Caenorhabditis elegans: one gene and its partner. The protein of the gene in region 2 interacts with the protein of the main gene of each other region in a pairwise test. Each region holds a gene or a part of one and is shown on either strand. Other genes may lie near its edges.

Evidence for each region. Proteins that work in one complex are often made in the same cells at the same time.
Region 1: the proteins of kin-2 (region 2) and kbp-5 interact in a two-hybrid assay, tested with the Caenorhabditis elegans proteins (one large-scale study listed by BioGRID).

What each region holds. Positions count from the first base shown.
Region 1 is NC_003279.8:10,685,276-10,688,627, forward strand, and holds kbp-5 (KNL (kinetochore null) Binding Protein), read left to right. Parts: upstream 1-2,087; 5' UTR 2,088-2,094; coding exon 2,095-2,314; intron 2,315-2,374; coding exon 2,375-2,469; intron 2,470-2,554; coding exon 2,555-2,647; 3' UTR 2,648-2,784; downstream 2,785-3,352. Other genes in the region: sdha-2 (Succinate dehydrogenase [ubiquinone] flavoprotein subunit, mitochondrial), read right to left, coding at 18-196, 250-308; ndua-13 (NADH dehydrogenase [ubiquinone] 1 alpha subcomplex subunit 13), read right to left, coding at 766-891, 935-1,148, 1,194-1,272, 1,682-1,778; tag-272 (Structural protein), read left to right, coding at 3,057-3,117.
Region 2 is NC_003284.9:5,976,142-5,979,896, reverse strand, and holds the start of kin-2 (cAMP-dependent protein kinase regulatory subunit), read left to right. Parts: upstream 1-2,042; coding exon 2,043-2,163; intron 2,164-2,222; coding exon 2,223-2,305; intron 2,306-3,085; exon of another isoform or gene 3,086-3,224; intron 3,225-3,755. UniProt on the Caenorhabditis elegans protein: Controls the rhythmic contraction of enteric muscles probably by regulating G-protein coupled receptor aex-2-mediated calcium influx in GABAergic DVB neurons.

The DNA.
Region 1 (3,352 bases), on a different chromosome or scaffold from region 2:
TACTTTGAGCGGCTCACCTCCTTGAGCCGCGACTGTGTGCGATCTTGTGGGGAAAAGCTTCGTAATGACGGCAGTTTTCATTCCACCTTCGGAGAGTCCCATCGCAGCTCTCAAACCGGCTCCTCCTGCTCCCACAACAACCGCGTCAAAAGTGTGATCAACGACATCAAAATTGGTGGTTGCGCTCACTTGTTTTCTTTGAAAATTGATAAAATTAGTGAAATGGCGTTAGAAAATAAATTATCTCACTTCATATAAGTGCGAACAGGTGTTTTCGCACGGTTTATCGACTTTACGACATTAAGCATCTTGCTGAAAATACAGGAAAAATATAGAACGTTCAGAAAAACAAATAAAAATCCGATAACGGTTGAGGTGAAACCAAAAATGAGTTGGCCGCGCGAACGATACACCGTAGTTCACACTTTCGGTGCGAGACCCACCGCTCAATTTTTGTTCCTGCGCCTTTAAGTTTGAAACAACTACGGTACATTTTTCTCTATTTATTTACATGAAATTTCTGAAAAGAAACGTTTCATTTGAAATTTTATCGTAAATTTACATCTTCATTTCATAAAATTCCAGAAGAGAAAAACAATACACAAACACGACTTTTAAAAACCAAAGGCCTGTCGTTCATTTTCGAAAACTAACAGTCTAAAAATGAAAACAAAAAAAAAAAGAAAATGATGTTTTATTGATAGGGGCCTAGAGCAGGACACGAACTCGAAGATTAGTTTGCCAATCCATCCAGATGAATGGTATTTACCAGAACCACTTGGACATCCATTGTGGGAACCAATTATCGTAGAATTTCGGTCCAGCGTACTCAGAGTGTTGGCGCCAAAGATGATCACGGGTTTCATTTGATCCCCTTGAGTGAACGAATACCTAAAAAATATGATAAGCTCCAGAATTGTTATAAATTTTTTACCTCAGTAGCAGTTGGATCCCACCACTTGTCTCCGAGAGTAAAGTACACTGGCTCTCCGTACCAGGTTCCAGTCTTCCATCCTGGAACATCCTTCATAATTTCCTCTTCCAGAGCACGATTCTTGGCCAACAATTTGAGCCAATATCTGTCACGCTCGGCAGTCAAGAACGGCTCCATTGCGTTGTTGATGTCAACATCTTCGAACTTTTCAGTGCTGTAAACTTGATATTTTTGGAGATAAATTCACTAGTTATCTTACATGTCCTTCTTCTTTCCTTCAAGAGCAGCATAGACTCCGTAGGCAGTAGCTCCGAAAATGGCGGCGACGACGGTTCCAGCTTAAATTTGTGATTGATTTTAAGAAAGTTTTGTGTTTTGAATCAAAATTTGATAGACAGAAACTTAAAAATAGAATACTGTTTCAACAATAAATTTGATAAAAATGTATTTATTCTTCGCGTTATATTATTTATAGAAAATAGTGTGAAATATCAAAAATTACAGCAAAATAGCAAACTGATCCCAAAATATTATGCTAAAAACGTTCTCTGTCATTTATATTTTATTGCTCAAGACAAACAGCTTTATTTTTATAAATAGCGTCTAAGCCTTTTTATTCTTTAAAGTTTCTTGAGAATCGTTTTTCAAAATATTTATTCTGTATTTCACAGCATTCTTCTCAATTTTTTCGGCGTTTTGCGTTGTTTCATTTCGAGTAATATTTTAAAGCAAAAAAAAACAACTCACGACTCCAGACAAGCTTCGGAAAAGTGCGATGGAAGTTGAATGCACGATAGCCTCCTTTTGGAGGCATATCCTGCCGAAACTCTGCTCCAGTGGCCATTTTACCTGAAAATAATGAATATAAATTCGATAAAAAACCGAATAAATTATAAAAATCGATAATTTCGTTGAGGAAAAAAAAACTTGCAAACAGAATAGAAATTGATAAGTCGGGCAAAATGTGCGGCACGGGAATGTGGGCGTGGTCTTCGTCGCAACACTGCGGCGCACTTTCACAGCGATTTATTATTTTGGCGCGTTTATCTTTTTTTTTTGAAGACGTATTTTGCATTTATCGCTTGTTTTCTTCTTGAAATTGCTTTTTTAATATAAAAATCTGCTTTCAAACAAAATTCAAACTTATTTTCAGTACTAAAATGAATCCAAATCATAATGAAGGCCTCCTCGAGCTGTACACACAAGCAATCTCACTCGAAGCTCTCAAAGACGCTGAGCAATTCCTCGAGAATAGTTTGCTAGGAAAAGATGCACAAGTCGAACGTCTACTCGCTCAAGTTCTCATCGAAGAGCAGCAAATCGAGACGAATCGCAAAAAGATAGCACAATTGAGAATCGAGAAAGAAGAACTGGAATTCGGTGGGTTTTCGGAACTTTTCTGGTTTTATAATAATAATTAATTAATTAATTTAAATTCAGATTGTGCAAATAGTGACCTGAAGTCGTTGGAGCAGATGCAAGCCGAGCGAGATGAGCTCCAGAGGAAGTGCCAACCGGGGCAGCACACTAAATCGGTGAGATAGGGGAGATTTTGAAGCTGAGAAATGCTTTTTGTTATCTGAAAACATTCAGCGTTTCTATTATTATTTTTAATTCTAGAATCACAAATCATCTGAACAACTTTTGAGAATGAAAAAAGAAACCGACGCTCTACGTGCCTACATGAAGAAGATAAGTCAATTCGAAGACTGAAGCCATCAAATGAATCTCTATCAATTATCCCTCAATTTAAATTAATTTCCATTCAAATCGATCTGTTCTCATATTTCCTCATGATGTGATTCTCTAATCTTTTGTACATCTACAAGTTATTTTGTTTTATAAAGCCACATCTCACTTATGCATAGTTTTTGTGTCCAAAACGGAAGTGTTATTGGGAAGAAAAAGTACAACATAAGGGAAGAGTGAAGAAAATCGAGAGACGCAGATATGACTTTTTATTTGCGAACACGAAAAGCAAAGTGACCAGCAGCATTGGACACTTTTCGAGCAAACTTTTCGTCCGAGGAGGAGCTCATTGAGCTTAAGTCTCAGAGCACTGACCATTACTTCGGTCACTCTACTGTTTTGAGAAGCGTTGAGCTCTTTCAATCGTGTAAAAATGTTACCAAAAACTGGATCATTCGATGGGATTCCTAAAAATTTCAGAGCAAGTTTGAGAAGTGAGTATTTATGGTCTCGAAATTTTTTTTAAATCTTGAATTCTTATTTTTGTTTTTCTTTCTCTAGTTACTCCCAGGATTAAACCAGTAAATTAAAAAAATGCACTTAAAAATTCGATAACTTCCTAGAGTAACTTCCTACTGTAAATTTAAAGGCGCATACACAAAATATTTTTCATAACGCGCGGCAAGACCAATCCACTAAATTCGTCCTCCCTTGAAGTTTTTCTGCCAA
Region 2 (3,755 bases):
TATCTTCACAATACTTTTTTCCAAGACGTATCCATCATAAAATCAAACAAAATTTATTATAGTAATTTGGAAATTAGAAGATTGATTAGAAAAATAATTTTTATAACGATTTTGACATTGAGAGTTTTTGATTGAGAAGTGATTAAAAGAAAGAATTTATGGGCGCTGGGCGGTTTCTTATAAAACTACCTAATTCAAACATTCCTCTTTTCTGTCACAGGCAGAGGGTCTCCTGAGACCTAAAAAACGGGTGGGCGCTCCACGAAGAAGACGCCGAAAAAAAAAAACAATTTCCCCGGGCGTCGTCGTTGTCGTTGTCCCTGCCTCTGTCTCCTCACGCTTCTTCCATGATTCATAGGGCTCCTTCTCCTTTTTGCTTTGCTTTTTCGCGATTTCTCAGTTTTTTGTCCCGTTTGATGCGTTCCGTATAATATAGAAACGTTGCTTTTTATCCAACAAAACTTTTACATTTTTGTACCAAAAATCCGACAGATTAGCCTATATGGATTAAAGATAAGCTGAGAGTCGGCTGGTATGCTAACTTGATTACCAGCATGCAATAGGATAAAAAATATTGTTCAGTTCTCCCTGTTCCTATTTCAATTTACGTCATATGCCAAAGACCAAAGGCCACGGGTGGTGTAGAGCAAGAGTCCGAGGGGAAATGCCCCGTTGTAATTGGGCGATAACATGAAGACACCCTCGATTTCATCGATAGGTCATTTTCACATTTTCACATTGTGATATTGATTTCTGAACGTTTAGTTTAGTTTATTATCATCACTTGTTTCTCTCGCATGCAAAAAGGTTTACAAACCCGCCTAGAAACCGCATAGGGAGGGGGAAGAGGCGAGAGAAAAGTTAGCATTCGTAGGTATTAAATGCATTTTCTAAAAAATAGGGTTTGAACAACAAATAATTGCTGTTTTTTGCTTGTACTTAAAATGGGCTCGAATTAGCATTCGAAATTCAAAAAAGACCAACAATTGATAGATTCACCAGTTTTGCTAAAGTTTCCAAGTTGCAGAGAATGAAAATTATATATATATTTTTTAATGGAATTATCATTTTTATTGATTGTTTGGTTCACATTATTTAGTTGATTCAAGTGTGTTAAAAGCCGATAAGTACTGAATTTCAATTATGTTTGGTAACCTATCAACTTTAAATGCACCCTTATTAACAAAAAAACGTGAGATAAATTATAAAAATATGCAATACAAATGATACTTTAATGCAGTTAATTTGCAACGCAGAAAAGTGTTTCCCAAATTTTAAACGCCCCCTCGAACGGAATAGCTTATTTATTTTTTGAGAAGTTCATTTGAGTACATTTCGAGTCTATACATGCAAACAATTCAAAACCGTATACATCAAAATTATTTCTATACATTTGTAGCTGCTTGTAACTCTATATGAATTAAACAAAAAAATCTCAAATCAAATTCGTCCGTTTCCGCGACATATTGTAACCGTTGATCTCCTATCAAAAGAGGAAATTCCCTTTATCTTTAAATTATAGTTTCCGGTCTCAGTACTTGCGCGACGACGTTTTTCATTCTGCTAATTATCACCATCAATCATCATATTTACTTTCCGACCATCTGTGTGATCAAAGTGATGAACTGAACTTGTCTTCAAATTTCAACAAATCAATTATCTGATTTTTCTCTTTTTCTCTTTTTCTTTTCTCTCTTTTCTCGTTCTCTCGCTCAACCAAGTTTGGGTATCAATTTTCTTTTCTTGCTCCTCCTCTCTGTTTTTTCCTTCTTCTCCACTTTTTCTTCCTTTTTTTGCTGCTCAATTCTGCTTTGATCTACTGGGAAGGCTGTGTGCCAAGATTTTCCAAAATGTTGTACACTGGCGGGTGTATCAGCATTCATTCGGTAACCGCTCATCTCGCTCTTTTCCGCGGCATCCCCCGTCAAAAGTCTGTTACCTTCCCCACCAAGTTTTCATCTCATTTCAAACGTGTGTTTTCTGCTATTTTTCTCGCATTTTTGTCTCTTTTGTTTGTTTAAAACAAGAAATGACTGAAAATTATGAACAATTATTCAGGTGACATTGTTTTTATGTCGGGTGGAAACGAAGAGGATCAGTTGGCACAATGCCAGGCCTATGTGCAACGACACAACATTCAGCAGCTTGTCAAAGAAGCAATTGGTGAGTTTTTGAAAATCTAGCAAAATAATAACACGAAAGTAAGAATACGATTTTTCCAGTTGTTCTGTGCATACACAAACCCGACAACCCGGTTCTCTTCTTGAAGGATCATTTTGAAAAACTCAACGAACAACGAGCACAGGTTAGTTGAGTTGCAGAGAATTTAGAAATTGAAAAAAAAAATATTTTCAACATAAAAGTGAGAAGAATGACAGAACCAGTTCGAAATTATGACCAGAAAAAGTATTCAAATTTGCTGACACTGAAAGAGTATTGACGTGGTACGCCAAAAAAGTTAATTGTTGCGTTTTGAAACGGTTCTTCTTATCGGAAAACGTAGTGTTGCATAAGCGTATTATAACGTTTTGAGTACAATTTGTGATGGGGGTTTTACAATTCTTCAGGATTTTTATTTAATTGTTCGTGTTTTCTGAACCATGAAACTCGGTTTCAGACTTTCAAATTTGAAATTCACATAGCTTTATAATTATATCATTGTTCTAGATCAGTGAAATTTGTTATTTTATTCTCATTCATAGTACCAAGTTTTTGAGGCATCGAAAATCTCGTTTGACTCGCTTCAAATATTTGAATATTTTATCCGGTTTTGTGGGAGCCAAGCGTCATGATTTTTTGTTTCGATCTTGTTTTTAATGAGATGCACTGCAAAAAAAAGCTTGAGAAAAAACTGGAAAATGCAAATTAGGTCAAACATCTTCCTGTGTCTTTTTCGTCATTCCTCCGCGTTTATGGCTCGAATCAATGAAAATGAAGCTTCACTTCGTTTTTTTTTTCGTCTTGTGTTGCTTCTTTTTTTCATAGAAAGCAAGCCTTGTGTATGTCGTTTTTCCGTCGGGGTCCTCTGGAGAAAGAGAAGAAAAAGAAGAAGAGGAAGAAGAAAAAGAGGCACTAGTTAGCTGGGAAAACGAAAGGATGAAAGAGAGCGGATAAGGCGTAACGAAAACGAAGAGAATTGAGAGAATGGGCCCTTTGAGACGAGTCCCAATGAGCCCTCCAGAGCTGTCCATCGAGCATCGAGCGCCCGCAGCCATTGGCTCAGCTGCCGAGCTCTTTTCCCTTTTTTTCGGGTCCGGTTTGTGAAGCGGAGAGAAAGTGACGAAGAATGAAGAAGGCCTCGGGGCAGATTTCTCTTGCTCTTCGTTGCTCTTCGGACGATCGCATTTTTCTTCTCCTTCTGCCGCTCCTTAATGCTCCATGCTTTTTGTTCTCCGTTGTTTTTTCAACACCCTCGCATTTTGTGTCTGGAATTTTTGTTTCGAAAATAATTGAAGTAGGTAGTATTTTCACAAAAATAACAAAAGTCAAAAGACTAGTCATAAATCTTTAGGAGGTCAGGTGAAAGAAAGGGAAGAGGAAACAGTAACAGTGACGACGAACCAAACATCATTGTCACGTTCTTTGAAGATGTGAAATTCTAGATTTAACCTTTTTTTTTCTCTGACACCTAATTTTTAAAATTCCAAAACATTTTGCTTTTTTTTCTGTCACAAATTTTAAACGCTTCAAACAAAAAACAACATTAGTCATAATCCAGGAAATATAAGGTATTACAAACTTTTTATGACGTCATC